2 linked regions of the Xenopus tropicalis genome follow. The protein of the gene in region 2 purifies or fractionates together with the protein of the main gene of each other region. This does not show direct contact. Links are inferred from orthologs where the notes say so. Each region holds a gene or a part of one and is shown on either strand. Other genes may lie near its edges. The genes, in order: sdf2 and dnajb11.

Region 1 (17,330 bases), on a different chromosome or scaffold from region 2:
TTTCATTGTTTCCTTACAGAGAAGCAATAATTGCCATTAAGGCTTCCCAAGGTGGAAAAAATGAAATGTTATTGCAGCTAGCTACAACTAATCGCTACCAAACTGGCTAGCTACAACTAATTGCTACCAAACTGGCCCTGGAATTTTTAGTACACAGAGGCCCAAACAGCCCCCATAAGCCCAATACATAGTGACTGTCTATGGCATCTTACAGCTGCCCCTCTGGCATTTGCTAGAACCCAGTCTGGCCCTGCCCATGTTCACTGCCCTTAGTTCCTGATTCTCCAAGGATAGCAGCTATTCAATGAAAAATGCTGGAAGCTTCAGCACTCCTGGATGTCAAAGGCTGCTTAGAGATATTTGGCTTGCTTACTGCCATTGCTAAATATCAAAAGGAAATCTGGACCCCATTGTCAACAAAACTTTATCTCAGGCAGTTTCCTCTCAAGGCAACTTCTGCTACTTCGGCAAATCACGGCGATTTACATTCTAACCGGTGGGATGGCATGTCGGGGAGATTAGTCGCCCGCAACTAATCTCCCCGTGTGTCACAGCCCTTATACATCCAGCAATACAATTCCCCCCTCATGGGATGTGCAGTTTACAGCTTATATTCAACCACAATTTCCCTGTCATCAGTACCCAACAACACCTCACATACAGCTGCACCTAACCAATAGCAAGAAATCCGTTTAATAAGGGCTGGTGCTGACCTGAATTACTGTCAGCTAGATCTCACTGCACAGATTTAGTGGCACTATAACCCAGTAACAGAAGTTGAAGTCTGAAGTCCTGAGTGTGGATTTATAGTCAGTCACATGAGAGTGGCAGTATGAATGTAAAGGAACAGATTTGTGAAGCCATATCCCAATAGGTCCAAATACAAGACTGTACAACTTGTGGTGGTGGTGGGGGGCCAGTAGGTATAGGGGGGCCTAGTGGGACACTGACCAATAAGAAGTTTTAATGAATATTTATAAAAAGCATATTCCCAAATCTTAGTGGGGACTAACTGTATTTTGCTAAGGGGACCCAGTAACTAAGTTCCATCACTCTCTACCATTCAGCATCACAAATACAGCTCCCAACACTTATGTGCCACCACAAACGCTGCTGAACTGCAACTCTCTCCCTTGCTTGACAGTCAGCTGAGGTGCAGCAAACACCTAAAGAGCCACAGGGTGCAACAGCAGTTCAAAGCACTTGTGGGAATAAGGTGCCACGTCTGACAGTTCCACCTGCCATCCAGGCCAGAAAATGCGGCTCTCTCACCTTCCCAGGAGCAGGGCTCCCACAGCCAGCAGCACCAACACCGCAAGCACTGCAACAATCACCGGCATGGCGTCCACCCAGGAACCAGGGGTACCGACACCCGGCACACCGGCTCCTGTCAGTTTCACGGAGCTTCAGGAAACCATAGAGAGACCACCCCCTCCGAGTTGGAAGGAGGAGTTGAAACCCAGAGTGAGTACAGGAAGCGAGTGACTGGGGAGAAAACACAGGGAGGACCAGCAGCGTCACGTGACCCGCAGAACTTGGAGAGTTGGGGGCGGGCACTGTGTTATCCCGGAACAGCCGCACCGCTAATAGCCTTACAACTGGAAAAGGAAGCGCGCCACCTGCTGGTAGAACAATAAGAACTACAAGGTTCATCGTATCGTTCTGATGCAGATATCGTGTATTACTGTTGCGTCGGTGTATGTCTACTTGGTTTCATCCTCACCGTCATTATTTTATTGTAGAACTACGTGTCGTGACAGCCTTTAGATGAAGTGACCTTGTCGGAGTCTCTTAATAAAGCCAAATATGCAACCTATTAGTCTTGCCGGAATGAAATGCGCATTTCTGGAAAGCTACAGTATTTGCAATAGCTGTTTTTTTTATATACTAACAATTTTTATTGATTTTTATTGGCATACATATGGCAGATGGCTTGGCGCAGATTTTTGCATTAATGGTGCTGTTGATCAGTAGTACTGAAGAAGAGAAAAAAAGTAACCATTGTAAACATATAACATAAATATAACTCTTGGTATTGTTGAAAGAGAAATGACTGATCTATAAGTTCTGTAGTTCTTAATATATGTGAGGGGGTTAGGTGATTTAGGCATGAAGGGCCAGAAAAACTGGGGATCATTTTCATGGGCTGGCAAAAGGAAACACATTTTATTTTAAGCTTTCATGTCATTTTAACATATAGGAAAGTTTTTCGTTGAAGACTATGCTTATTATTTTAGTTTAGCGGGAGCCTGTTTTTTTTCCAGTTGCTAGCTATGATTAGTCTCACTGCCATTAATATATGTTGGCTCAGTCTGTGAGCACAGTTAGTATACTCTCAAGGTAGTTGTAGTACTCGGGGGTCTTTGGGAAACTAGGTATGGAAAATCTTTGAGAGAAGGCAAAATTCTAAAACAACCTTGCAATCCCACCATATATGTAACATAGTTCCAGTTTCTACACAGCCTCTGAAACATTGTGGACTGCAAGTAAAGTTATTTAGTCTGGCTGGAACTAAATATGTTCTATGGAGGATTTTAATAGATGTTTCCCTGATTGTTACACAGCTGCTTCCTTTATTTTCTGCACTAGCATAGGCGGAGGGTGACTTTTTTGTTTGGGGAGGCTAAATATGGGCCGTACACAGTCCGACCTACAGCTAATGTGAGACTTAGTGGATTCGCTGCTGGTGTAAAAAATTAACTTCCCAACTACCTCTTGCGGTTCCCACTGACTCCCAGGGATACTGCGCAAAAGTGCGGGTGGGGGTGCTTTTAACCCTAAAATGCTTAGGATGTAAAAGTATTCATATGTGCTCTTCTGTTGGGGGTTCTCTATACATTTGTGTTTGTGATCAGTTAGCTTCAAGGGGTAGTTCACCTTTAAATTAACTTTAACATGATCTAGACATTGATATTCTGAGACAATTTGTAGTTGGTCAGCTTTTATTTTTAATAGTTTTTCGGTTATTTAGCTTATTGTTCAGCAGCTCTCCATTTGGTATTTCAGCAGCTATCTGGTTGCTAGGGTCTTATTTACCAGGTAGTGGTTTAAACAAGAGATGGGAATATGAATAGTTAAGGGGCCTGCATGGAAAAATAAAACTGTAGCTTCACAGAGCAATACTTTTTGGTCAGTGACCCTCATTTGAAAGCTGGAAAGAGGCAGAAGCGAAAGGCAAATTATTCAAAAACTATAAAAAATTAACTAGGAAGACCAATTGCAAAGTTGCTAGGAATAGGCCATTCTATAACATACTACAAATAAACTTAAAAGTGAACCTCCCCTTTAGATGTGTTTAAGTTAGCTTTACAGAGAGAGAGGCAGCAGGTACTGACATCCCAGGCACGTTATATACAGCGAGATGCAGTCTTTATATACAAAACCAACACATATATAATGAGAAGCAGTGGGTACTGAGGGCAGATATTCAGGCCCTGGCACTATAACACTGGCACTGATACACAGCATTGGCCCCACTGTAACTAACTAGGAATGAAAAAAACAATGACAAAAGTAAAAGAAAAATAGAAAGTGCAAAAAACCATAACAAACATATAAAAGCACAATGAGCTTTGTCAGGGGGAAAGTTAACTTACCCTCCATCTGTTAGGGTAGGGGATAGGGATATTATAGATGTCAGGTGACTAAAAACAATTTAATTTCAGCTAGTGGGTCAGTCTTTAGAACATATACAGTATAGTTACTTGTGTATAGTACCTGTGGGATGAAAACTGCAGCAAAGTTCACAGGCTCCAGTTAGCAAAATCTCCCGATCCCTGTCTGCATCTGTGCCTTGATTGGTCAATTTTACTGCCTGTCAAGAAAGCTATGCTCTGATTGGATCTTTCTTCTTGTGGATTCTCTAATCAGAGCACAGCTTTCTTGACAGGCAGTAAAATTGACCAATCAAGGCGCAGGTGCAGACAGGGATCGGGAGATTTTGCACAGCTGATTTCTGCAGAACCCCAAGAAGATTTGCAGGGCAATGCAGAAACGGAGCCAGGTTTTAAGGTGCCAAATCAGGTTTGGGGAGGCTTAGCCTCCCCAAGCCTTATTGAAAATCCGCCTATGTGCACTAGCTATTTTTAAACATGTTTTTATTTATTTCAACATATTTGTTAACCACACTTACCATTCTACCATCCTTTCTTTTTTCTGGCTCCTGTTTCCCGAAGGCACTATTTCCACACTAGGCTGTTCTCTTTGCCCTGTCTTCAGCACAGGCATTATCTTCCCCTTTGCCCTGCCTTTTGTCTCCTTCCCCTCTCCACATGGCCCAATTTAACCACCCTTTCCTCAAGTCCCAGTTTCTCCATATCTCTGCTTAACTTTGTTCTTTCTTGTTCCATATTCAACTTCTTTTCTCTAACACACATAAGACATTTCTTCTTTCCCCCCCATTTTTCCTGTAACATTTCTCTCTTCCTTTCTCCTACACCTAGGTTTCAAATGGAAGGTATGCAGGCTCTGTTTGTGTCCCCCTTTTCCTTCATCCCTCCTATGTTGTTTAAATTTCTCATTTGATAATTTCTCTATTCCCACCTCTGCTTTTTCACCCAAGCTTTCCTCCATATACACACAGCCAGTCCATCCTGTTACTCAATGTTATATGTACCTTAGAACAGACTACATTAAAAGTGTTATGCCCTGTACCTCCAAGCAACAGCACTGGTATGTTCTCTTCCCATAGCTGCTTTTGTTGTCCGCTGCACACTGAGGAAAATGCTTTGGCACTAAATTGACCAAGTGGGTAAAAAAGTCTAAACAAAACATTCTAGATGAGCTATTGGACACAGGGGCAAGTGACAGCTTTAAGATAGATGGACCATGGTGAAAAGTATTTCATGTCAACTAGGCAGAGGGTGGAACTAGCTGATCAGAGCTGTCCAATCTTCTGATGATGCAAAGTCAGTGCACAAGATTTGGTGGATGAGGCCACTGACTGTGGCTTCTGTATCAGCCCAAAGTAACCACAGCCCTTTAGCAGGGAAAATGTGTGCCCCTGATGATGCCCCCAGTAGCTCCCGATCTTTGCTGCTGATGCTCTGTGTTGCTCTCACTTACCTAAACTTAGGGCTCTGGTACACGGGGAGATTAGTCGCCCGCGGCAAAACTCCCTGCTCGCGGGCGACTAATCTCCCCGAGTTGCCTTCCCCCTGCCATCCCACCGGCGAACATGTAAGTCGCCGGCGGGATGGCAGACGCGGCGGGGCGATTTCGGGGAAATCGCCGAAAAAGCCTCGCAAGTCTTTTTCAGCGATTTGCGCGAAATCGCCCCGCCGCGTCTCCCATTCCCGCCGGCGACTTACATGTTCGCCGGTGGGATGGCAGGGGGAAGGCAACTCGGGGAGATTAGTCACCCGCGAGCAGGGAGTTTTGCCGCAGGCGACTAATCTCCCCGTGTACCAGAGCCCTTAGGGACTGACTCACAATATAGTGTATATCTACAATATAAAAGACCAGATACAAGACTGATTACAAATTAGTTCAGATTCTCATCACATGGCAGTGCATAAATCTGTGCAAATAGCACCAGAATTTAATAAACGGCCTGTAGCATCAGCTTACATGACAGGCAGACATCACTTTCTGTTTGATAATTTATGATAACCCCTAAGCTTAGCTTCTCAGCAGCCGCCTACTGACACTTCTAACAGTATTCAAGATGGTGAGTTTCTTAAGGGTAAGAACCCACAAGGCGGTTGAGTCCCCCGTGATAGATCTCTGCTATCTTATGTGATGAACCACTCCGAAATGGCTTTCCACCAGCAACAATAGGAGTTGCCAGTGAAAAGCCCTTTGCATTGCTTCGTTTTCTGAATTCACGCAAAGTTGCCTGTAGGAGGAAACTTTGTGCAACTTTGGATTACCAAAGTGTTAAGGCCCCCATACACGGGCCGATAATAGCTGCCGATATAGGTCCATTGAACCGACTCGGCAGCTTATCTGCCCGTGTAGGGGCAGAAACGAGCGGGCTGGCCGACCGATATCTGGCCTGAAATTGGCCAGATATAGATCAGCTGGGTTAAAAGATTCAGTCGGATCGGGGGCCGCATCGGCTCGTTGATGTGGTCCCCGAACTGACTGCCCCATTGCCGCCTACATAATCCGGTCGTTTGGCCCCAGGGCCAAACGATTGGATTATTTTTTTTTTTTAACTTCAAGCTCCCCGATATCGCCCAACCGTATGCTGGGATATCGGGGGAAGATCCGCTCGCTTGCCGATAGCAGAGATCTATCTCGGGAACAACTCAACCGCTCTGTGGGTTCTTAGCCTTAAAGCTTTCAAAACACAGGGATTAAATACTTATGCACATTTTTCCATGAGTTGTTTTTCCAACATAAAACATTGTCAATGTAAAAAAAAAAAAAAAAAAGCGTTGACATAAAAATACTAGAGTATTTGGTTATGAATGCAGATTTTGTTATTTAGAAAAATGACAGAACCTGGGTAATCATGTCATTGTCATACCTGCAGCTGGCTGAAACCCCTAACTAATGGTTACTATGCCCAGGTGTAACTTTGCTTTTTGATAAATGAGCCTTTGTACTATGAACAAAGAGTACTGCTTCCCATTCATTAAATATATGACAAGTGGGAAAATGCACATTTGGATATTAATATTTTCATTAGACAAATACAAAGGTAAAATAAACACTTAAAGTTAAAGGTGACCTTTAAAGGAGAATGCAAGTCAAAATGTAAAAAGCATAGTGCCCAATAGTCCTCCTATTGTTTAGTAAAAACGCCACATTTTTGGCTCACCTAATCAAATACTTACTCAGTCACACTTACTTCACATTTTCTAGAACAGGCAGCCATCTCTAAAAAGGTATTCTCCCTTCATTTCCTTCCTTGCTTCATACTGCACAAGTGTTTCATGCCCACCCCCCTCCCCTCTGCTAGATCTGCTTCTGATTGGCTGGTGGGTATGTGTAGCGCAGAACAGAAGACAGCCTACAGGAAGGGAAGAGAGATTTCAGTGATGTCACTGTAGTCTTCACACTGCTGTAGGCTGCCAGCACCATATCTCAGAGAAGCAAGCAGGGATCTGGGCATTTAGATATGCAGTAGGTACTTAAAAAGAATGCATTTAGATTTACATTTAATTTATATTAACCTTTCATTGTCCTTTAAGCCCACTAGCCTGTGAGGCAGATAAAAATCAGGCAGATAAAAATCAGGCAGCACCAATTGACAAAGTGGTCCTTCCCCCCCCATGTTTCAGCATAAGAAAACCTTGTAACCAGTTACATGCTTCTTTTAAGTAAAACACAGATTTTTGTTTTAAAAATGTTGTATTCAAATCCAACAGCAGCTGAGATGAAATATTTAAAAATTACTTTGTTCCAGGGACGTGCCCGGTGTTACACCTCAGTTCCTTACTGGACATAAAAACAATAATACCAGCAGAATGGGCAACAATACAAACCATGCCCTTGAATCCACATTTAAAATATTTCTGAGCTGAACTTTTTAAGTGACCATTCAGGATCTGAGGAAAATCCTGATTGATCCCAACACTGTATGGTTAAGGAAAGGGAGTCAGAGTCTCTATAGGTGACATCATAATTCAGTATGAATGTTCTGTGTCCGGGACTGCTCACTGGGCTTCATGAAGATACCCTCCATGACTTTCCAATAGCTGTTTTGGTTAGCGTATGACATGCCGTGAACTTCCCTCTGGCCGTTAATGGGCCTCCCATACTGTTCCCCTGTGACAGAGAGGAAAACACTGGTAGATGTGTGTCTAAATCGAACTTCATCATCTCTTTGCCAGAATTCACCACCACATAGAACAGTCCAGTCATCCAGTATGTCACCTTCCCCATCATCCCCAAATGCACTGACTTCCTGCAAAAAAAATAAAAAAACAAAATAAAAACAAACTCTTAAAATATACAGCCCAAAAAGCAAGATCACATGCTTAAATGAGATGTAATGCTTGCACATATAATCTACTAACAAAACTATACTTAAAACAACATGAAATGGTGATGTGCTATTTATCTGTTAGTCACAGTGACTTGCCTGGTTTCCAGACAGAGGAGAAGTAAAGTGATGACTGTGCAGATTGCGCCCTGTGTTGACATGTGTTAGACGCACAGACTGTCCACATTTAATTAGTTTTCCTCTCTCACACACGGTGGAGGTTTGTCCACGGATACGCCAGTAACTGTTGCCATCGTCTACAGATGTGACTCCTGTCACAGATTGCTGTCCGCTGCCTAGATGTACAACTTATTAGTTAGGGGTCTCACAACAAATACATGCACAGTAGCATTTGTGTCTCCAAGGTGTAGGTATCAATCCTAAAATAAATATCACAGTGAAAATATATACCCATACTCTGATTTACACATCCAGAATGCTCCTGGGGTTTTCTGGATAAGGGATCATTACATAATTTGGATATCCATACCTTAAGTCTAATAAAAAATAATTTAAACATTAAATAAACCCAGGGATAGGAGTATTTTGCCTTCAATAAAGATTATTTCTTAGTTAGGACAAGATACTGTACTATTTTATTTTTACAGAGAAAAAGGGAAATTTTAATTATTTGATTAAAATTGAGTCTAAGGGAGTGGAGCTTTCTGCATTATGGGTTTGCGGATAAATCATTCAATACCTGTAATATAGTTCTAATGTCTTGGTGTAGAGGAAGAAGAATAGCTTAGCATATTGAATGCCTTTCATTTACCCCAGCCCTAGAGAAGAAATCAAAATAGGCCCTGGCATTTTAAGTACACAGAGGCTAAAGGTGGCCATACACGTAACAATTACGGTCTTTCCTGCGACCATTGGTTGCAGGAAAGATCGTTCATACCCTCCACTGACATTCAGGGCTAAATCGTCAGATATGGAGGTAAAACCAATAGGAATTCTACCCCTATCTGGCAATTCATCAATAAACGCAGCTTTTGCTTGGGCACCTTTAACAGCACCTGATCAAAATCTTTTGTCCAGCCCAATTGACAAGACGACTAATATCTAAGGCATTATTGGTCAAAATCGGTCGCCTTGTCAATCCACCATGCACGAACTTAATATCGGTGAGTGTATGGCCAACTTTATTTAGATGTATTTAGATATATGTTTTATGTTATTATTTTATTAACATGGGCAAGGCTTCATAAAGCCTTCATCATGAAAAAGTAACTGAGCAACTACAAATGTGATAGCCAAGTTTTATTTATAACCAGTGGCTTAAAGTACACACTGGAGGAGCTACGCACAGAGCAAGACTGCTGATTGTTACTGTACATCTGCACAGCTGAAAATGAAACTGTTATGCAAAAATATCTACAAAATGCTTATGGAAACTTTCATTTTCCTGAGAAAAATGAAAGTAATTAGGAAGGAAATTACATTTATTTGGGGAACTAAGTGTCACAAAAGGCTAAAAATATGAATCTGAACGTACATCCTACTAACTAAATCTAAAAAGCAAGAATATTAATCTTATTATAGTTTCTCTTCTGCTTTTTATACCTAAAACACCAAATAAAAGATGAACTAATGGGGCTGCTGTAAAGGCAATTTTGATTCAAATAAAGCTAATACAAAATTTGTTATAACGTATTGCGCTCCTGAAATTATTTCATAATAGGTGAATACATGAATTTCAAACCCCCGCAAAGACTATGGCTCAGGGCCACAACCACTCATAACCATTTATCATAAATTCCACCCTGAGGCTTCATCATCGTCATTCAGTGACTTATGGACAACCGGAAACGCAACCTTTCTGTTCCGGAAGTACTAACTCGAGAATCTAAATGAATGAAATAATATAGAAACAGGTGGGAGCGGTGACTGCCATATTTCATAATGGAAATACCAGTGCTTCCCAGTGTGGTCGACCCCTCCCCCGGGAGGCTTGGAGCACTGTCAGGAAAGCTCAGTCTGAAGCCTATTTGGGGTGAGGTTGTAGGACAATTTATATTTCCTCTTTTAGATACACCTTAAAAGAGAACTAAAGAATTAGGCCAGAGATGCTGTACATTATGTTTTGAGTTTCGGGCCTGATGCTGCCCCCTGCTCCTTACTAATGCATTATAAGGCATATGTACTGTCTATGTAAATTATAAGGCTATAAATACTCACAAAGGAGCAGTGGTGTGAATGTCAGCACCCGCCCGCCCCGCTTACCCACAGGGTAGATGGCCGAAACAGGAAGTGATTGGGGGCAGAACAGGGCCACTAGGGGCAGACTTCACAGGTCCTCAGCAGCCCTTCTGTCTCACTGCCCCCCCTCCCAAGACTGCAGGGTCAGTTATGTAAGTACTGAACTGTATTTCTCTTGTATTAAAAGGCATATATACCACATATATCAAGTATAAGAATATTAATAGTTACCAAGGAGTTCTGTGCCCATGTAAAGGCACAAGGCTGCAGCCTGTTTATTAAAGGTCAGGGAAACTTGAGTAATAGTTATGCAGGTTAAAGGACTTCAGTCCTGCACTTACCCATACCAAACCTGCTGATGATTTATACACCTGCACCCAAAACTGGTAATCCCTGATGTAGGAGTAGTAAGAGGCAGGATGGACATACACATTTTGGCAGTCACAAAAGTGGGTTTGGGAGAGAGCAGGCAAGGATGAAGGGGCTGGGCTATTCATGTATTTCAAAGTTTTTTCTTTTTAAAAAGGGTCTGCAACACATTAACAATAATGCGCCAAGTAGTCAAAGAAACAAAATGGGGGAAAGGTATTTTTTACCATATACAAAATAGTTACTAACAATAAAAGCTTGAAAGACCACCCCCAAACCCTTTCTCTTTACATTCGCTGCTTGCAATGTGACCAGCTCAGCTGTGACAGTGCAAATGCCATATATCAGATATGAAGCAAGGGTAGGAGAAGGGGTCCTATTCTCCCTACGGACAATGCCTAACTGAATATATGTGTGCATTTAAATACACATTTGCTATACTGTACATATAACTGACAGCGACTGCGCGATTACAGTCTCTCCCTCCCCCAGGCACACACTATATTTCAATTCCATTGATTAAACAGAGAGGGCTATGTCGCTTTAAGCCAAGCATTAACACCCTGCTCACGGGAACCTGCCAGCGCCTAATGCCATGGAGGGCACTTTACCTCTCCAGAGGGAACTGGGTGCGCTGATGACGTGCCACTTGCGCTGGGGGATGTGCCCTCATCTTACCTGAACCATATCTAACGTCGTGCGAATGGAGACGGACGCTGTGCTTGATATTGAGCAGCTTGACCACTGAGCCGCAGGTCACCACGGACAGCTCAGAGGCAATGCTCACCGGCAGCAGCAAGGGAGTGATAAACAGCAGGAGAGAGCCGGCTCCATCCTGAGGCTTCGTCATCTTCATTCACCGGCTGGTGGACAACCGGAAACGCAACCTTCCTGTTCCGGAAGTACTAACTCGCAATGAATGAAATAATCTGGAAATAGGTGGGAGCGGGGACTTCCCAAACAGTGGGGTTGCTGTGTTCCCCTGGAGGCTAGGAGCCCTGTCAGGAAAGCTCAGTCTGAGGCCTATTTAGGGTGAGATTGTAGGACAATTTACATTTTCATCTTAAAGGAGAACTAAAGCTTAGAGAAGAATTAGGCCAGAAATGTTGTACATTATGTTTTGAGCTTCTCTACCAGCAGCAACATTTCTAGGGCTGCCACCTTCTCCCAATTTGCAAAATTGGGCAGGACTCACTGAGATTCAAGCAGTGGTCAGCTAATCGCTGAGTCATTTCACTGCCCTGCCTCTTCCCCACCACCATGATGTCACAGCCCTGCCTCTTCCCCACCACCATGATGTCACAGCCCTGCCTCTTCCCCACCACCATGATGTCACAGCCCTGCCTCTTCCCCACCACCATGATGTCACAGCCCTGCCTCTTCACCACCACCATGATGTCACAGCCCTGCCTCTTCCCCACCACCATGATGTCACAGCCCTGCCTCTTCCCCACCACCATGGTGTCACAGCCCTGCCTCTTCCCCACCACCATGGTGTCACAGCCCTGCCTCTTCCCCACCACCATGATGTCACAGCCCTGCCTCTTCCCCACCACCATGATGTCACAGCCCTGCCTCTTTCCCACACCGTGATGTCACAGCCCTGCCTCTTTCCCACACCGTGATGTCACTGCCCTGCCTCTTCCCCACCACCATGATGCCACAGCCCTGCCTCTTCCCCACCACCATGATGTCACAGCCCTGCCTCTTCACCACCACCATGATGTTACAGCCCTGCCTCTTCACCACCACCATGATGTCACAGCCCTGCCTCTTCCCCACCACCATGATGTCACAGCCCTGCCTCTTCCCCACCACCATGATGTCACAGCCCTGCCTCTTCCCCACCACCATGATGTCACAGCCCTGCCTCTTTCCCACACCGTGATGTCACTGCTCGCCCCCTGCCCAGCAAAAATGTTGGCAGAGGTTGCAACCCTAAATGAGCCTAATGCTGCCCCCCCCCCCACACCTGCTCTGCACGTACCTCTCTAGTGTCAGAGCAGGTCCAGGGGCTGCATCACTAGTGCAGAGAATGCTGTTGCACTAGCAATGCCAAATTTCTGTTTTAAAAACCAGAGGCGGCTTTTTGTCGTCCTTAGTAACTGGCTTCTCACTGCTGCCTAAGGCAAGGTTCTTACGATGCCTCATGGCAGTAGTGGACCTGTTTACCAGCCCTAGACAACCCCAGCCCTTTAGTAGGGAAGTGCTGTGCCCCTAAAGATGCCCCCAGTAGCTCCCCATCTTCGTTTCTGCTGATTCATTGCATATGCTCTGTGCTGCTTTCGGTTACTGAGCTTAGGGACTGACTAAAAATATACTGTAAATATAGAATACAAATGTCACAATAGAAGGCTGTTTATACAGATTACAGATGGCAGCTCTAAAACCAAAGCATATGCACCCAAACTTAATAATCAGGCCTTGCCACACCCTTTATAACAGACAAACCTCATTTTCTGCTTAAAATTTTGCGGTGACCCCTAAGCTTAACTTTTCAAAAGCTGCTCAGAACATGCTGAGCATGTGAGTGTTGCAGACGCTTCTAACAGATTCCAGTATGGTGACCACAAGTGACAACTTTGATGTACTGGATCATTACTACTTCTATAGAGATGCTAAACTTTGGGCTGGTTCAATTTATAAAATTTGGCATTTCTAGACATATTAATTTTTAGGGTTTAGTTCTCCTTTAAGGCCTAGCTGGGATGTCAGGTTGAACAGTTATTTGCTAGCCTAAGTATTCTTAAAATTATATCTGCCTGATCCATACACAAATGTTTCCCTATGTGTGTAACTGTTACGAGGGCCTTAAAACAAAAAAAGTCACAAGGACTGTGACTTAAGGTGGCCATACACACTAAGACCTTGCCAAGTGATCGGATCTTCTCCCGATATCCCCACCTATGGGTGGGCGATATTGGGCTAATTTAGTCGTTTGGCCCTGGGGCCAAACAATCTTATTAAAACAGCAGGAATAGGCGCCCATCGGTTCGGGGACTGCATCAACGAAACAGTCCCTGATCCGACGAAGAATCAAACATGTTCGATAGAAATCTGCCTGATTTCAGGCCATATGTCGGTTGGGCAGGCCTGTCGGTAGTGCCCATACACGGGCCGATAAGCTGGTGAATCGGTCTAAGGGACGATATCAACAGCTAGAATCGGTCTGTGTATGGCCACCTTTAGAAATGATAAATACATTTAAAATCAAACTAATTTATATGTGAAATTATAATATCATTGTATCAATATCAGGGATAACAATCTTGTCCAGTTTTGCTCTACTAATTTGTTTTTTAAATATTTGGGAAAGGGTTTCAAATTCAATACAGAAAAATTGGAAAGGGAAACAATATGCTGATCAAATATGTACAGCTCAATTACTTTATATCTAGGTGTATATTCTGAGGGAGAGATTCTGGAGGTCTTAGATTATCCATCCTCTTGTCTCAGCATACTTTTAGTAAGTCCTTTCAAAAGGTCACCATACTTGAGTGTAGAGTTATTTGTTTGTCTACCAGTATGCATGTGCTATTGTATTTTTACGAGATCAGACCCACTAGTTAAGCTGTTGCTTGACCTGAAACCCCCAGAAGCAATGTCAAATATAGGGCTGATTTTTACAGGTATAATTGCTAAATTGGTCCAATGCAGTTACACATGTCTTTGAACAATCTCCTATAAATTGGAAAATGAAAACAAAAATGAATGGCTGCTACTGGCAACGGCACTTTTGCAGGTTATCACCTGTGCCCATCAATCATTCAAAGCAGTACATTTTTGAGTCCTAAAGAAAATATACTGCTCAACACTTATCATCAGCTGATTGAGAAGAGAATTTTTTTTACTACTGGCAACATACTTTTCACTGGATGAACCACAATTAACTGTAGTTACCAAATTATGTTTTCTTCCCTGGGTGTAATTTAATTGAATTTTCGCATGTGTTAATAAGATTCTAGATGAAGTTAAACCAATCCATTTATGGGTGGTATATCACAAAATCTACAGTGTATGCTCTGAACTATATCAGATGTTACCTAAATTCCTAATTCTTCCTCAATCCAGTCTTCTGTATTCTATGGATTATTGATATTATTTATTAGCTTCTGATTTAAGGCTTTACATTTTCCTAATAAATTATCACTTTAATAATTGCTTAAAAATGCACTCAACTTGCTGTTACTTGTAAAAAAAAAGGCTTTGTTAAACATCTAGATTTGCTGACAGTAAAAGAACTACTGGAATTGTCTCCAGCAAATGTAGTAAGTATTGGCAACAGTTTCCCCCCAAAAAAGGAATTATGCATCATAAGGAAATAGAGAGCAGCACAATATGTATGTGTTTTGTCTTCCCTCTCACTTCATTTCAGTTTTTTTTCTAGCCACTGAGCACAATGTTCCATCCAGACTTGAACTAAGGACAGAATAAAGTTGCATTAAATACATGCAAAAACACATACTGTAAATGAGACACCAGGTTTTCCGAATATGAACCATAACCTAATATCACTGCCAAAAATGTTCTCCTACACCTGTAGCAAATTTACACAAGACTGTGATCTTTTATGAACAGACTATGCAATAATATATGTACTATAATATACTGTATATACATCATGCAAAAGCAAGGGACTTAAGGTTCCATCGTATGTTACATGATATATAATATGATATCTTACAGATGTTTATCTGATTATGGGAGGCCATCCAACAAATGCTCCCACATAATTCAACCCCTACTGCTGGGAAAAGTTTCTGACAAATGGTTTAGTGAATGAAGTAATGCGATTGGCCATGGAAAGAAGGGCACTGACTGGCTCAAACCTGAACGCCAAAACAAACGAGAGAAAGTACAGGCTGTTCTGTACGCTAGGTGTTGCGTAATAATGATTATCATGGTCCTACCGAGGAATGCTGGGAGATGTAGTCTTGTATCAGCAGGTGCGCCGTCGTTGTTCTCAGAACTATACTGAAGGCCTGAAACGCATTGGGGGATAACCAAAAGAAGCCAAACACGAATAGATATCTAGTATGGATAAAAGAACCGTGGAACAAAGCAGTAAGGAATTCGATTTCTGTTAGCCAACAACTTTACTGCGCTTATAGTCGGCGCATGCGCAATTGAAGAGCGGAGTGTTGGTGTGCCTAGTGCGGTGGTAGCGGCTGCCGGAAGTGACCTCACGCCTGCCTGCTCTGCGTTCTATCCGCCAGGTTCTGCGCTAGAGTTGTTCCTCCATTTTTGGACAAGTTCTTCAGAAAGGAGTGCAGTTTTAGAAGGAGACAGCTCGGCAGCGCTTTAGCCTTACATCGGGAGAGGGATAGTTATCAGCAAAGCAGGTAAGGCTTTCCCGGCATCTTGTGCTAGAGCGCTGCCTCAGCCACCTTGTCCGTGGGGGCCCGCACCGTAGCCCCACTGGAGAGGCATCTGGGGTGTTTGCGTGGGCAGAAGTGGCGTGGATGTACTGGAGTCCGATTATATGGGCTCGTTTTCGTTGTGCAATAAAGCCCGTAAACACTTTGCTAAGTATGGCCCTCTTGGGGGAAATACGGCAAAAAGCGAAAATCAGGCCCAGGTTTAAAGGGCCACGAAAGGGAAGTCTGAAGATAAACCTGAGAAAGGATACAGTTATTATGTAGCTTATTTTCACTATATAGTAGCCATCCTGCACCTCCCAAGCTGCTTCAGTAATTATAAGGCAGGGGCATATTTATCAGCACTTTATAGAGATGGTACATCATTTATTCAGTTCCCATCAGTCACAGTGGAACTTAAGATCTATTTCTTATCATATTCACTATGATCAGTTTTATCATGAGCCAGTCAACCTACCTGTATGTTTCCGAGAGAAAACCCACACAAACCTAAGAGGTTACAAATTATTTGCAGATAATGTAGTGCCCTGACTGGGATAGAACCTAGGGCCCCAATTTTGCAAGACAGCAATGTTAACCACTGCAACATATTTTAAACTGCAACTTCCAGCACACCCCAGATTTGTCTTTGGCCCCACAACAGTTGGGGAGTTGCAGAATGGGCATCCCTGATATATGTGAATCCTCTTAGGCTATAGCTTTAGCTCCGGTTTGGATTAATAGGGCTATAAGGTTACCAGTTTCAGTGGCAAGGTTTTAAAGGGCTGAGGCTGGCCTGAACCATTGTTATATCTACTTAGAAATGTCCATCTTGTACAATAAAGACATTTTGATTTGAAAAGATTTTTTGGTGTTCATTCAGATTTTTTTTTCATTGAAACAAGCTATCATTCACATTCTTAATATTATGAAATAATTATCCAACACCAAGGAAATGGCAGAAACATAAGAGATACAAATATCTATCTACAAAGACCTCTTTTACCCTACATCTATAGCTGGGTGTTGTGCAAAATGAGATGCTTCATCGGATTATGATTACACAGGGGCCTTATTGGGAGGCCTAAGTTAAGTTATATTGGCATCTGATGTAAATTCCTTGTAGTGTTGTAAAACTCACTTGTCTGTCATTTGTTCTATATTGCCTTAAATCAGGGGTCCTCAAACTTTATAAACAGGGGGCCAGGGTCAAAGTACTGCCCGCTCCTGCGTCCTCCCTCTCCTAGCTCCCCTGCTCTGTCCTCTCTCTCCCAGCACCCCTGCTGCGTACTCCAGCTCCCCGCTGCCAGGGGTGAGGATCCAGGGGTGAGGATGCAGCTGGGGCCATGTAAATTATCTTGGGGGGCATAACATAGATTTGCCTTGTATGGGACAGTGGCACTTGTGCTTTTATTGTGTGTGTCAGGACACTGTGTATAATTTTTTACAATTTATAAGAGCAATACAGCTCA
Region 2 (16,814 bases):
GGGGAGTCCGGGGCCTGGGGGGAAACTGGGGGAGGAATGAAGGGGGGCAGTGTCCGGAGCCTCGGGGGCCCTTTCGGCCTCGGGGGCCACTGGATCTGGGGCCTCGTAGGTGGGGCCTCTGGGGCCTGGGCGGGTGCTGCTGCCTGGCCGGGTGCTGGGGCCTCAGGGGCCGCTTGAGCCTGGTGGGCCTCAGGAGCTTGGTTTGCCAGGGGTTGTGCCTGGGGATGAGACGCCAGCTGAAGTTCTGTGAGATAGTATTGCAAGATGTTATTTTGTGTAATATATTATACATATATATATACATTCATACACCATCATAAATAACGGGGCCCCTCACAATAACATTTTTGGGGCCCCCTCCTCCCACGCCCCCAATGGCCCCTCCCCCTGTGAACCCTCACATCAATACAAAGGACACACAGAAATTGTTAGCCAAGGCCCCCTAAAACATTCGTGGCCCTTCCCCAAATGACTCATACTATGGGCCGCTCCCTGCTGCTTCCCCCCTGCTTTAAACTCATTTATGCATATGTAAAATAGATGTGTGTGTATATATATATATATATATATATAAAGATATATATATATATATATATATATATATATATATATACAGTGGTGTGAAAAACTATTTGCCCCCTTCCTGATTTCTTATTCTTTTGCATGTTTGTCACACTTAAATGTTTCTGCTCATCAAAAACCGTTAACTATTAGTCAAAGATAACATAATTGAACACAAAATGCAGTTTTTAAATGAAGGTTTACGTTATTAAGGGAGAAAAAAACTCCAAATCTACATGGCCCTGTGTGAAAAAGTGATTGCCCCCCTTGTTAAAAAATAATTTAACTGTGGTTTATCACACCTGAGTTCAATTTCTGTAGTCACCCCCAGGCCTGATTACTGCCACACCTGTTTCAATCAAGAAATCACTTAAATAGGAGCTACCTGACACAGAGAAGTAGACTAAAAGCACCTCAAAAGCTAGACATCATGCCAAGATCCAAAGAAATTGAGGAACAAATGAGAACAAAAGTAATTGAGATCTATCAGTCTGGTAAAGGTTATAAAGCCATTTCTAAAGCTTTGGGACTCCAGCGAACCACAGTGAGAGCCATTATCCACAAATGGCAAAAATATGGAACAGTGGTGAACCTTCCAAGGAGTGGCCGGCCGACCAAAATTACCCCAAGAGCACAGACAACTCATCCGAGAGGCCACAAAAGACCCCAGGACAACATCTAAAGAACTGCAGGCCTCACTTGCCTCAATTAAGGTCAGTGTTCACGACTCCACCATAAGAAGGAGACTGGGCAAAAATGGCCTGCATGGCAGATTTCCAAGGCGCAAACCACTTTTAAGCAAAAAGAACATTAAGGCTCATCTCAATTTTGCTAAAAAACATCTCAATGATTGCCAAGACTTTTGGGAAAATACCTTGTGGACCGACGAGACAAAAGTTAAACTAAAAGGTGCGTGTCCCCGTTACATCTGGCGTAAAAGTAACACAGCATTTCAGAAAAAGAACATCATACCAACAGTAAAATATGGTGGTGGTAGTGTGATGGTCTGGGGTTGTTTTGCTGCTTCAGGACCTGGAAGGCTTGCTGTGATAGATGGAACCATGAATTCTACTGTCTACCAAAAAATCCTGAAGGAGAATGTCCGGCCATCTGTTCGTCAACTCAAGCTGAAGCGATCTTGGGTGCTGCAGCAGGACAATGACCCAAAACACACCAGCAAATCCACCTCTGAATGGCTGAAGAAAAACAAAATGAAGACTTTGGAGTGGCCTAGTCAAAGTCCTGACCTGAATCCTATTGAGATGTTGTGGCATGACCTTAAAAAGGCAGTTCATGCTAGAAAACCCTCAAATAAAGCTGAAATACAACAATTCTGCAAAGATGAGTGGGCCAAAATTCCTCCAGAGCGCTATAAAAGACTCGTTGCAAGTTATCGCAACCGCTTGATTGCAGTTATTGCTGCTAAGGGTGGCCCAACCAGTTATTAGGTTCAGGGGGCAATTACTTTTTCACACAGGGCCATGTAGGTTTGGATTTTTTTTCTCCCTAAATAATAAAAACCCTCATTTAAAAACTGCATTTTGTGTTTACTTGTGTTATCTTTGACTAATAGTTAAATATGTTTGATGATCAGAAACATTTTGTGTGACAAACATGCAAAAGAATAAGAAATCAGGAAGGGGGCAAATAGTTTTTCACACCACTGTATATATATACACACAATACGAAGTGCTGGGAAGCTGCACACCATAAGGAACAATAATACCTGGGTGCCTGTGGCAAAACAAAATCTAGACAGGCATGGGGTGACGGCACACACAGGATTTTCACAAGGAGTCACAAAGATGTGAAATAATATTCAGAGGTTTATTGTAACGTGATGGACGTATGTTTTTTTTCAACCCTACTTACTATGTTACTATGTTACTTTCGTCATCCCTGACATTTCTTACATTTGTACTTTTAGTTCAAATTACTTGCTAAATCTTTTACTGAACGTATACTGTAAAAGCATAATAAAGTACAATAATTACCTTCCGCAATTTCAGCCACCAGGTCTGAATTCCTACGCTTCAGGTCAGACCATAGGCGCTGGAGCTGGCGGAGGTCCACTTCAATTCCGAAGCCCCCGCGCAACCTGGCTTGGAGGTCACGCAGGATGGCTCTCTTCCTCTCGTGGACCCCTAAGGGCCCCAGCGGTGGGTTGTCATATCATGAGCGTAGGAGAACTGTGACAATATAGCGCCTCTCCCCTGGTAGCAGATCAGAAACCCCAGGCATGATACTCCTCTCAGTGTGACTGCAGACTCAATGACACAAAATGGCCCCAAGTCGCACATGTCACGAGATTACAAAATTGCTACAAAATGTCCGCCAGTCGCGAGATTACAAAGTCGCGACAAAGAAATCGCCAAAATATACATAGTAATGTATTTTGTGCGACTAAATATTTATATCTATATAAATATTTATATCTATAGTACTGTATATTAGTAGCGAAATTCCATACATGCCAAGACTTTAGTCAAATTGAGTAAAAAGACACATACTTGAATAAATAACACTGTAAGTCCATATTTTATTGCCAAAAACTCATTTACTGTACTTTCTATAATTTTTCCCCTGCCTGTAGTAGGTGTTAATTTTCGCATAGACCAATGCGATATTTAGCGTGCCTAAGTGTTTGTGAATCATGCGATCGTATTCTTTTCAGCGCAAAAATTAACGCATGCATTAAAAGTAGCGAGGAAAATACCGCATGCGAAAATGGCGACTTAACGCACGCGATAATACTATGGTGAATCGCACGCTAATTATCACGACTTATTTAACGCAAAAAAACGTGCAATATATTTTATCGCACTTTAGTGAATCAGGCCCATAGTGTCCTAACAAAAATCCATTCCATTAAAAATCCTGTAGAAAAAAGGGATACATTTTGTAGCTCATTCTCAACAATATTTACCAATACTCAAACATATTCTTGTAACCAATTACTTGACACACAAAGATACAATTACTTGGCGCAAAACACAAAGATAACAAACAAATATTTAATTTCAGTAAAGCACATTTTAACTCCTTAAGGGCTGTCCTTCAGAGCCCAGATTGGGGAATTATGTTTTCTGCTACAAACAGAACAGAAATTGCTGTCATTCAAAATGATATTAAAGGGGACCTGTCACCTAAAGAAATAATATATATAATAAATAAACTTTACGTACGTTTAGGAGAAAAGAAATAATTTAAAAACTAGAAGTCAGAGGGGACAGAAGTAGCATTTAATGAATATAAACGCTATGACAAATGTTGTAAACAGAGATCCAGAAGGGAGAGATAGAGAAAGAGGAGCGCATTGGGGCAGAGGCTAAGACTAACCCCAAAGAAATGTTTAAAGTATATTAATAGTAAAAAGATGCAGGTTATGGGAGTATGGCCTGACAACCACAATACTATTAGTTTGTGCCACAATACTATTAGTTTGTGCCAGCATGGTTTTATGCACAATACTATTAGTTTGTGCCAGCATGGTTTTATGCGTAACAGATCTTGCCAGACTAATTTAGTTGCCTTTTATGAGGAGGTGAGTAGGAACCTTGATGCTGGAATGGCAGTTGATGTCATCTACTTGGACTTTGCTAAAGCGTTTGATACAGTACCTCACAGAAGGTTAATGATCAAATTAAGGAATATTGGCCTAGAACATAATATTTGTAATTGGATAGAGAACTGGCTGAAGGATAGAGTACAAAGAGTGGTGGTAAATGGAACATTTTCTAATTGGACCAGTGTGGTTAGTGGAGTACCGCAGGGGTCAGTCCTTGGGCCTTTGCTGTTTAACTTGTTTATTAATGACCTGGAGGTGGGCATAGACAGTATTGTTTCTATTTTTGCTGATGACACTAAATTGTGCAAAACTGTAAGTTCCATGCAGGATGCTGCCGCTTTGCAGAGCGATTTGACAAAATTAGAAAACTGGGCAGCAAACTGGAAAATGAGGTTCAATGTTGATAAGTGCAAAGTTATGCACTTTGGTAGAAATAATATAAACGCAAACTATCTACTGAATGGTAGTGTGTTGGGGGTATCCTTAATGGAGAAGGATCTAGGGGTTTTTGTTGATAACAAGTTGTCTAATTCCAGGCAGTGTCATTCTGTGGCTACTAAAGCAAATAAAGTGCTGTCTTGTATAAAAAAGGGCATTGACTCAAGGGATGAGAACATAATTTTGCCCCTTTATAGGTCCCTGGTAAGGCCTCACCTTGAGTATGCAGTGCAGTTTTGGGCTCCAGTCCTTAAGAAGGATATTAATGAGCTGGAGAGAGTGCAGAGACGTGCAACTAAACTGGTTAAGGGGATGGAAGATTTAAACTATGAGGTGAGACTGTCGAGGTTGGGGTTGTTTTCTCTGGAAAAGAGGCGCTTGCGAGGGGACATGATTACTCTGTACAAGTACATTAGAGGGGATTATAGGCAGTTGGGGGATGTTCTTTTTTCCCATAAAAACAATCAACGCACCAGAGGTCACCCCTTTAGATTAGAGGAAAGGAGTTTCCATTTGAAGCAGCGTAGGTGGTTTTTCACGGTGAGGGCAGTGAGGTTATGGAATGCCCTTCCTAGTGATGTGGTAATGGCAGATTCTGTTAATGCCTTTAAGAGGGGCCTGGATGAGTTCTTGATCAATCAGAATATCCAAGGCTATTGTGATACTAATATCTACAGTTAGTACTAGTGGTTGTATTTATAGTTTATGTATGTGAGTGTATAGATTGGTAGGTGTGGGTTAGGTGTGCTGGGTTTACTTGGATGGGTTGAACTTGATGGACACAGGTCTTTTTTCAACCCTATGTAACTATGTAACTATGTAACCAATGTGAGCACATGCAACCATTAGAGCTCCGCCACAAAACCCTGTCAAAATCATGGTTAGGCAGACACTCTCATGAAGAGCATTGAAAAACCTTTGGACTAAAGGATCTAGAGCCCAACTGTTAGTGCTGTCACAGCTGATGCCTGGACCTTAAGTGTACTAAGACGAAGACCCTTCCCATTGACCTATCTTGCTTCAGTTCTTACCTTAAGTTCGATCCCCCGGAGCACCATGGAAAGAACATGGTACCACAACAAACCTGCCAAGAAAGGGCTGCCCACCAAAACTCACAGACCGGGCAAGGAGACCAAAGGTAACCCTTAAGGAGTTGCAGAGTTCCACAGCAGAGACTGGATTATCTGTCTATAGGACCACAATAAGCCATACACTCCATAGAGCTGGGGTTTATGGAAGAGTGGCCAGAAAAAAGCCATTACTTAATGTTAAAAATAAGAAGGCACGTTTTGAGTTTGCCAAAAGGCAGGTGGGCGACTCCCCAAATGTATGGAGGAAGGTGCTCTGGTCAGATGAGACTAAAATTTTACTTTTCGGCCACCAAGTACGATACTATGTCTGGCGCACACCATCACCACAGTAAAACATGTAGGTGGCAGCATCATGCTGTTGGGATGTTTTTCAGCAGCAGGGACTGGGAAACTGGTCCGAGTCGAGGGAAAGGTGGATGGTGCTAAATACAGGGATATTCTTGAGCAAAACCTGTCAGTCTGCCTGTGATTTGAGACTGGGACGGAGGTTCACCTTCCAAGCAGGACAATGACCCAAAGCATGCTGCTAAAGTAACACTCGAGTGGTTTAAGGGGAAACATTTAAATGTGTTGGAATGGCCTAGTCAAAGTCCAGACTAGAATGTTGCTGTTCTCAAGTGAAAACCATCCAACATGAAGGAGCTGGAGCAGTTTTGTCTTGAGGAATGGGCAAAAATCCTAGTGGCAAGATGTGGTAAGCTCATAGAGACTTATCCAAAGCAACTTGCAGCTGTAATTGCCACAAAAGGTGGATCTACAAAGTACTAACTTTAGGGGGGGGGTGAACAGTTATACACGCTGAAATTTTCTGTTATTTTGTCCTATTTGTTGTTTGCTTTACAATAAAAAAAAAAAATCAGGTTTTTTAAAAGTTCCTGGCACAGTGTTGTACTGTACTAGTCCAGCCGAAGCAGTTGTTGGTCTATGTATGGAAGTTGCAAGAAGCCCTTCTGTATGGTGGACTCAATCATCTTCTCTATGGAATCTTTGAATGCTACATCATCTTTTGGTAAGGTGTTCTTAGACAGGCAAGCAATCATAGCATCTACCCTTGGGGATATATTTATCATGCTGTGCAAAAAGTGTAATGAAGCATTACCGGTGATGTTGCCCAGGGCAACCAATCAGCAATTACATTTCAACAGTTAAAAATCAAAGCAAAGCATCTGATTGGTTGCTATGAGCAACATCACCGGTAATGTTTTACTCCACTTTTTACACCGTATGATAAATATAACCCTTGGTGTCTTGTCTGGGATTGGGTACATGTTACAGAACTTTTCTGTTAGGACTATTACCCAGTCAGGTTTGGCTATTTACTATCAAATAGTTGAGAAATGGATTTAAGGACAGGGATGGTTTCCCCAAGACTCCATGAACTTTAAATATCGCTGTTCATCCTTGATCTCTAATGTAGTTAGCATGTCTTTTAATAATTTCTTGGTCGTGTCTTGCCAAGTTATAGTAAACTGTTGTCTGTGGAAGAGTCCCCCTGATACAGAACCTACTGCAAAACTACTCTCAAAGAATTTGGAGTCAGTTTCAAACTGCTGCAGTAATTGATTCTTTTAAGTAGGCGCCCAGCATGTTTTATTGTGGTTTGAATGGCTGACCTAATCCAATCCAGAAAGTTTGTATATCAATATTGGTTTGAGAGGTTGTGAGACTTTTGGCAACTCCCTGCATTAAGAACCTGGTACCCTGCTTTAAAGGAGAAGGAAAGGTAAAAACTAAGTAAGCTTTACCAGAGAGGTCTATGTAAATACAAGCCATAAGCACTCACAGAAACGATGCACTGTGCCAGAGACACGCAGCTCTCTGCCCTCTCCTGCTCCCCCCCTCCCTCAAGAATGCTAAGAACTCACTCCCCCTTAGGAATGTGGATCTGAGCCAATCAGCAGGAAGCAGACTTATAGGGGCACATTTACTAATCCACGAATCTGAATCCCGAATGGGAAAAAAATCGGATTGGAAACGAAAATTTTGCGACTTTTTCGTTGCCACGGTTTTTTTCGTATTCTGCGCAATTTTTTCGTCGCCGTCACGACTTGATCGTATTTTGCGCAACTTTTTCGTCGCCATCGTGATTTTTTCGTATTCAGCAATTGTAAATGGCGGAAAAACCAATCCGATTTTTCCGCGACGGTGACAAAAAAGTTGCGACAATTCGCGAACAAGTCGTGATGGTGACAAAAAAATAGCGATCATTACGGAAAAACGCATTCGGACGCTTTTCAGATGTTCGTGGATTAGTAAATGTGCCCCATAGTCTTACAAACTGAGCATGTACACTTGGTCTCGGTGCAAGAGGCATTATGGGAACTTTCTTTACATAGCTCAGAGTTTTTTCTTCCTGTTTGGCTACTGATCATCTGAACAGGTAAAATATAGGGAGACTTAAGGGCACTATTGAGACAACTGAAGGTATGCCTGCAGCTTGAGATTAACTCTTTATTAGCCTTTCCTTCTCATTAAAATAAACAGGACACATCTGCAAACAGTACATTTCAGTGGCCTAGCTGTCCAGTCTTCTCAGTGATGGTTTTCCTGTAAGGGCCTTCTTAGGGTTTAGGAAGCTGTTTCAGGCACATCTTGCATGATGTCATGTGCGCTATGAAGAGTGCTGCGTTGAAAGTGCCACCAGCCATCGGCTTGAATTGACGTCACTAGAAGTTACAGGAAATGCTACCACTTACTGAATAGCATTGTGTGGTACCGTAGCCCTGGAAATTCCGGCATTACTTGTCATGTACAATGTACTGCTCAGTTATATCCCTGCAGGATAACAAGCTGTGCAAAAAGTTGCACTCTGCTTGTACAATGAAAGTTTCCAGTTTTATTGTCATATACAAATAACAATGAAGCATCATTACTATAATGAAATTATTTTGACCCGTGTTCCTCCCAACTTTACATAGACAAAAAAAAATAAAAAAATACAAATATTAAATATAATAAAAGTGTGCAATAAAGGTACAAGTATTTACAATAAAAAAATGCAATGAAATATTTGAAATTGTGCAGTGAGGATTTAAAGTGGCTTTGCTTAAAGTGACACTGCAAAGAGTCCAGTAGTTATGGGGAGTGTGTGTTAGGCAGAAAGGTATATCTGGATCTGCCCCAAAGAAGCATGGCCTTAACATTCGGATTGGTTGCCTAATAAAAAGCATAACAAAATCTGCCTCACATCCAATTTACTAGTTAGAGCTGCATTACTGCAATAAACGAAAAAAGGCTTCCAAGCACTCCAAACCTTCCAAATTAAAACAGCATCTTTATTAGTCCATTAAAATGTGAACGCCTAAGTGAGCTGCATTACTGAAACCAGTTGGGTGATTCATTGCAGTAGGGCTGCACCCTCTGATTCTCAGTAACCTAACTAATATTAAACATGTTACAGCCTCATGTGAGTTCTGCTTGCTAGATTGTTTCAAATAAGGAGGGAAATAAATTGTTCAGACAATCAGCATAACCTCCCAAGATCTAAAATTACATTTTCTATGAAAGGTAGTATCTGTCCTCTACCTTCTAGACAGGACAAAAGAGAAAACTGAACTCAGTAGGCAGAGTACAACCTTATACAGAAGGAGGACTCCTCTTTGATTCTTCCGTCTTGACTCCAAAGGTCAAGGAATACTAACATCTGAAGGGCCACTCAAAAAAAAAAAATTAAAAACAGGCAATTTAAAAAGATATATTAAAAATGTATTAGTTATTTATTAATATTGTCCCCAATATCCCCCAGTCTAACTTGGGCTATCAAGTAGACAAATTCGGTGAAATTAAAAACAAAAAAAAAAGACAAAATATAATGTGGTCATTTTTGAAAGAGTGACTGCAATTTGAAAGAGGTGGCCTCTAGACAAAGGCTTCAAAATGGTAAATGGCTCTATCCTCTGCATTGTTTTGTTTCTGTTCTGAAGCTAAATGATCAATAGTCAGTTACTAGCTGAATAGTCGAGCTCTGTAAACAGTAGCTTGAATATTAGTCAAGGGCAATCTGCCCAAATAAAATTCCTAATAGCCATTTAAAACTATGCAATTCCGTAATCTTTTGGAAGCTATGCAAGAACTCCTAGTAAAATTATTACTCCTACAAAAGCACACACATTTTTGGAAATTCTTATACATACTTATATCATTTTAGCATTATAGGCTAAAATATGTTTAGTATACTGTAAGAATAAATTAATATGAAATTCATTACTAGAGTCTAAATTTTCCAGTGTAAATAAAAAGAAAATACAAAACAGACTGTAATGTGCATTTATGATAAATCCCACATTTGTTTATTCAAAAATCACTAGCAAAGGCAGAAAATAAAGAAAAAAAAAATACCTTGTCGTTGCTCCATCGTTAGCTGTTCTTTTGGGAATTCAACATCAAATGTTATAATTAAAGAACCTTTTATGTTGTTATTGTCAAAGTTTGGCAAACCTTCCCCTTTTTTCCACAATTTTGCTCCTGGCTTAGTAATTTTATCCCGCAATATGTGAACCTGTAAATAAAATAAAAGGCTTAATTTTTTTTTAAAATATAGTTTTTTCCTATAACAAAGATAGGAATAACTTCTGTGTTGCACTAAACCTTCTTAGTGTGCTAGTGCAATAATTTTCTGGTTTATATTTCCATTATATTATTGCTGGCATAAGACTGATATTACACTAGGAAATAGATGGTCATTCTTGAGGTAAAAAAGTACAAAGTGTCAAAGTCTTTTTGTACTGAAAAAGTGTTACACTTGATTTCATAATTTATTTTTATTTAACCTTTTCATTGCCAGCTAATTTATGGACATTTGCAATTAATGGCAACTAATTTTGTGCCTTTAAACTTAGCTTAAACTTAGTAGCGTTTCCTGGGACTTTACTAAGGAAGATACCTGAAATTTTGTGAAATTCAACTTAGTATTTTGCACAATTCCACTTATATATTTAAAAATTAAAAATGACAATTTAAAATATACATAAAATAAATATAAATATATCAGAAACACTTTATTATATGAATGAAAATATAACAAGTGCTCTCTCAAGCAAGCCAATATCAAATATGTTATGAATATTCAAACCAACAAAATTTGATAAAGTTAGCTGTTTCGAATTCTATTTTTTAAAGTTTGACACCAGTTATATGTATTACAAGTTTATACAAAAAATTTAATTGTAGGTGTTATATATGTCCATTTATAATTAGCATAATTTATTTGCATAATTTATTACCATTTTTAAAAAAAATAGTGTTCAAATGTATAATGGCTAATGCCTCTGATGAAGCAAAGGGGCCTAACAGAGGAGAGAAGAGTGAGATATGCGTGTGTTCCCTTAACTTGTGTAAGTAAAACGGATTGCATTTGGGGTAGGTGGGAGCTATCGGTGCTTTGCTATAAGTGGTTTCTATTTAGGTGCAACAAAGCTAACTTATATCTAAGAAGATTGTGTAAGGAGATATGCATATGTTAACACAGAACGCTCTAAGAATAAATTAGCATGGGGTAGCCGCTTCCTCCTACTTCATGATTATGAGCATAATCTTTACTTGCATCAGAGAAGAGGAAAAAGCTGTGTATCAGAGTGCATCCACATTTAAAACTTGGTTGAATTAGAATTCCTCTAGTAATGAAATTCTATGATTCCCAAATAATTACATTTAATGTTATCATGTGATACCGTTTCATTTTTATAGCCACTTTCAATATATACGTTACTATGTACATGTTGCAGTCTCCCCAGTTCAACTATAATCACGCAATGACAAGAGTCATAAATATCAAACACCAAAGACAAAGAGCAGATTAGCAATTTTAGAAATATGAAGTATTATGCAAAGAGTAAAGAAAAATGTTATGGTAATCTAAACAGTAAATACATGGCAATCCTCATTTGGTAGGTGGATTTATTTGGTTGCCAGCGGGGAGCCAAACAAATGGCTACTACATCTGAAGGCATTCTAGCTAGGAAAGAAGATATATAGACATAAACTTGACCACAACAAATTAAAACAAGGAATAAATGCATACAGAATAATTAAAAAAATTAAATACAGAGGGCATGCAAGATAATACTCACTGTAAATCTTACCGTGATGTTCCTTTCCTGGCCAACTCCATATCAAAACTTACTGGGTATAGCCTGCCTAACTACTCCAATCAGAATGACCCTCTCCAAAGCTTTAAAAGCCCACCCCCACCCCCAATACAGTGTCTAGTATCAAGCTTCTCTATAAAAAGGGATAGGAATCTGGTGACATGGAGTTAATAAAGAAAATCATGGTAAAGTACAGAGCCGTCAAACCTTAGGCACCTGAGTTTCGGGAGACCTTGCATCCCGCCAAAAATTCTAGAAACTTTTAAAGAAACCTGGAGAGTTGACAGCTCCATAAGTATGATACAAGTGTAACGTAACTAAGTGCTGCTTGACTGTTGCATTTGAGCAAGTGTAGAAAGCATATACATAGAATGCTCACTACCTTCAATCCAGAATTGGATGCTGCCTTTAGGCTGAGGCTGCACTCATTGTCATTGTGGTCTCACATTCTCCCACACCCAACGGACCATGTGGTAGGGCAGTTGGAATTCTTCTCTCCTCCAATTGTCGGTTCACACCTATCCCTATTCCTCCAGCTTTTTCATTTAACTCTTTTGAGGTGAATGCCTTTCAAATCGTCCATCCTCTCTATACAGGAGGCTGTAATTTACAGACCTCCATCAGCCTCCTCCTCTGCTACCTTCCTCTCTGACTTTGAAACCTTGCTATCTTTTTTCCTCTTTACTGACAGCCCTGCAATCATCCAGAAGTGGACAAACACTCCAACTCATAAGGATGGCCACTTTCCAGATTTAATCTTTACCAAAAATCTGTACCTTTCTGATTTTAACAGTATCCCCTCTTCCCCCTCTCTGCCCATCATCTGGTTACATTTTCAGTCTCAAACTTTCAGGTCCAGTCTCTCCTCTCCAAATTCCTACTCTCCAGTACAAGGTCTGCGGAACATATGTGGAGGAAATCCTGTACACAAGCCGACTTTATCCATTATAAACTCCTATTGTCATGCCTCAACTCTGCCTTCTCAAAGGCTAAACGGGAGTACTACAATACCCTTATAAAAAATAATAAATCCAACCAGTGACGCCTGTTTTTCTATATTCAATACTCTTCTGCTTCCCAACTTTATGCACTCTTCCCAGGACTTTGCCGTTTTCGTTAAAAACTAAGTAGAGTCCATCCTCAATCAGATTTCCACCTCTACTAACACAAACCAGCACCTCCTTCATCAATCCCCTTCTGTATGTTCGTCCTGTCTTGTTTCTACTGCCTGCCTCCAAAATCATTCACACTGGCTGAACAGAGCAATGTCAGACAACAACAATTTACAAAGGGTCTATGAAGATTTTCATTCATCCAGGTCATGGTATATCTAGTATAAATAAATTTGAAGCAACTGGACTTGTTTAGTAATCATTGAAGACGTTTCACTACTCATCCGAGCAGCTTCTTCAGTTCAACTGACTGGTATGGGAAGTCCTCAGCATATATACTCTTCCACTAATCCAATCACAATGGCACTATGTAACTCTTCAGAAAGGTGACATCTGAAACTCACAGAGGTGTGAATGCTGTGGAGTTACTTTGAAAGGATTACCAAAGTATCATGCAACTCTTCAAACAGGTGTTACTTGTTAGAGTTGCATGAATGGATGTGTGAAGAGTTCTGAAACTTGTATATGGAGGAAGTGGAAAGGAAGGCCCTACATTCAATGGAACTACACCAAGTCACTGGTTCAGGTATGTAGATGACACGTGGGTTAAAATCAGATCCAACGAAGTGGCGGCCTTTTCAGAACACATTAACTCAGTGGACAACAATATCAAGTTCACAAGGGAGGATGTCCATGAGAACAAACTTGCTTTTTTGGACTGTTTGATATCCATTCAAGAGGGGGGTATCTTGAAAACAGAAGTATACAGGAAACCCACTCACACGGATCAATATCTGTTGTTCGATTCCCACCATCCGCTGGAACACAAACTGGGTGTCATTAGAACTCTACACCACAGGGCGGAAAGTGTAACAACTGATACAGAGTCCAAGGACAAGGAATGTAAACATCTCAGAGGAGCACTGAAAGCTTGTGGCTACCCAGACTGGGCCTTTGTCAAAACAAGAGCAACTAAGCCCAACAGGAACACCAAAAGGAATAACCGTCCTGAGGCAGAGAGAAGGCGCAATATAGTCATCTCATATGTAGCAGGAGTGTCGGAGAAACTCAGGAGAATTTTCAACAAACACCACATCCCTGTGTTTTTCAAACCTAGCAACACACTGAGACAAAAACTTGTACACCCAAAGGATCCAACACCAAAGGAAAAACAAAGCAATGTTGTATACGCAGTCCAGTGTAGCGAGGAGTGCACAGACCTTTACATTGGTGAGACAAAGCAACTGCTCTCTAAGCGAATGGCTCAGCATAGGAGGGCGAACACTACAGGCCAGGACTCTGCTGTCTTTCTACACCTAAAAGACAAGGGACACTCCTTTGAAAATAGCAATGTCCAAATTTTGGACAAAGAAGACCGCTGGTTTGAAAGAGGTGTAAAAGAGGCCATTCATGTCAAAGTGGAGAAACCATCCCTTAACAGAGGCGGGGGACTTCGACACCATCTGTCTGCTACATACAATGCTGTTCTAACATCTGTACCCCGGCAGTTTCAGAACTCTTCACACATCCATTCATGCAACTCTAACAAGTAACACCTGTTTGAAGAGTTGCATGATACTTTGGTAATCCTTTCAAAGTAACTCCACAGCATTCACACCTCTGTGAGTTTCAGATGTCACCTTTCTGAAGAGTTACATAGTGCCATTGTGATTGGATTAGTGGAAGAGTATATATGCTGAGGACTTCCCATACCAGTCAGTTGAACTGAAGAAGCTGCTCGGATGAGTAGTGAAACGTCTTCAATGATTACTAAACAAGTCCAGTTGCTTCAAATTTATTTATACTAGATAATTTACAAAGGGCACTCCCATTATGCAAATTTAGCAAAGGGCGCAAAAGACTAAGAGTAAAACTAACTAGCCCTCTGGCCAGAGGGACCACAAGGGGCCAATCGATCTACAGGTCCTGGCTGCAATGCAGGATCAGGCAATCTTTCCACACTCCACATTATTCACAGAGCAGTGGTGTTCTGAACAAATAAATCTCTGAGAAAACAGGGAAATCATGGGTAGATTGCTTCCCAATTGCCCTGTTCTCTGTACGCACTACTCCCATAGGCCTTCACAAACGATCACCTTATGAAATATTGTTCGGGTCAAATCTAAAAACAGGATTGTAATTTTCCCTAACAGCTAGAAGCTCTACATTCATATATGACTGGTTATGTAGCTGCTGTACAAACACAACTGAATAAAAAACACAAATATGTTTTTGATTCTATTTCAGATCCGAACAACATTACTGGATCTCATGATCTCAAACCAGGTGACTGGGTAGTGGTTAAAAGACAAGTCAGAAAAAGCTTGGACCCCAAATTTGAAGGTCCACTACAAGTACAAATGGTAACACCTACTTCAGTAAAACTGAACAGCAAAGACACTTGGATAATCACTGTAAAAAGGCAAACATACCTGATAATCATGGTTAACCTTCTACTGGTACTAATCCTAGGTTTGGTAGATTTCACTATGAGTAAAATACACTTTTATAACAAACCAAAACTTTACATTACAAAAGAGAATAATTAAACTAATTATTGTTTTAAATCAGACCAAAAGACTCTTGACAACTACCAATGGTGGCTTTTCCTATATCTATTTTCCTAAATACTGACAATATAACATATCACAATGGAAAAAAGAGAAAGCTTGGAGACTTCTGGAAGCAAAAGTAATCACAAACCAATTTTGATTACTGTTAACAGAACCAACAGTTGGGATCAACTGTATTTAGGGAGAATTCAGAAATATTTGGATAAAAAATAGAAACTAATGAAGCCTTAGAAAGGAAACGTAATACATGGAAACTAACGATCAGCCTTAGTATAGTCTTACAAGCACAACAACAAGTAAGTCAATACATATATTATCCTACAGGGGAAGGTATTAATAATTTATCTAAACTTGAATGTTGGAATTTATTCAAAAAAGAGATGGCAATGATTGGTGCAGAAATTTAAAACGGTGTCCAAATTGATATTTAATGATGGTTTAATAACTTTAAAATCTCCACACTACTTTGTGTGTGGTAAATGGGCCTATGCTTGGTTACCTGAAAATAGCTATGGTTCTTGCACTATTGCATCTCTAGTTTCAGCCATAGCAATTATGGATGAAGGTGATGTAACTAAGAAATTACTATTGCCACATCATAATTTGTCATAATTGAGGAACCTACCCATCTGCTACTGCCATTTTCGGAAGCTACAAGACTACAACCCACCTGCTAATGGTACTCCCTAAGGTAGTCTCTTCCTTTAACCCCCGTTGTCTGTCCATATTCCATTCACATATCCTCCTCTATGTACATACTCCAGCTCTTTCACGTTTTATAACTAATTGCAATATCTTTGTCCCCCGGTTACTGTCCATACGTGGAGACCCACACATATGTGGAATTCTCCTCTCCTCCTGTGTCAGTTCACGGCTATTCCTAATTCTCCAGCTTTATCTTTTAACGCTTTTGAGGTGCATGCCCTTCAAATCTTCCATCTCCTCTTTGCACGGTTGGCTGTCATTTACAGGGCCCCATCAGCCTCCTCCTCTGCTACCTTCCTTTCTGACTTTGAAACCTGGCTCTCTTGTTCCTCTGTACTGATGGCCCTGTAATCATCCTTGAGGATTTAAACTCCCACATTGATCCCTCGCAACCCTGGCCCTCACGTTTTCTCCACCTAACCTCCTCCTCTGCACTCCAGCAGTGGACAAACACTCCAACTCATAAGTATGATAGTCACATTCTGGATTTAGTCTTTACCAAAGATCTGTCCCTTTCTGATTTTAACAGTGTTCCCTTCCCCTTCTCTGACCATCACCTGGTTACATTTTCTATCTCTCACCCTCCTTCCCAACTTGCTCTCTAACTCGAATTCGAAATACCTCCCAGCCTTAGCTCATTCTTTCAGGTCAAGTCTTTCCTCCTTTAATGAGATGTCTGA

Evidence for each region.
Region 1: the proteins of dnajb11 (region 2) and sdf2 purify together in Homo sapiens (affinity purification with mass spectrometry; 3 studies listed by BioGRID and IntAct, counting the BioPlex papers as one, with this or other methods). This does not show direct contact. The link is inferred for Xenopus tropicalis from reciprocal best matches to the Homo sapiens genes DNAJB11 and SDF2.

Annotation. Positions count from the first base shown.
Region 1 is NC_030678.2:34,442,282-34,459,611, reverse strand, and holds sdf2 (stromal cell-derived factor 2 precursor), read right to left. Parts: upstream 11,387-17,330; 5' UTR 11,352-11,386; coding exon 11,180-11,351; intron 8,230-11,179; coding exon 8,033-8,229; intron 7,856-8,032; coding exon 7,568-7,855; 3' UTR 7,281-7,567; downstream 1-7,280. Other genes in the region: protein KIAA0100 homolog, read right to left, coding at 1,273-1,340.
Region 2 is NC_030685.2:43,609,814-43,626,627, forward strand, and holds part of dnajb11 (dnaJ homolog subfamily B member 11), read right to left. Parts: intron 10,157-16,814; coding exon 9,997-10,156; intron 1-9,996. UniProt on the Homo sapiens protein: As a co-chaperone for HSPA5 it is required for proper folding, trafficking or degradation of proteins.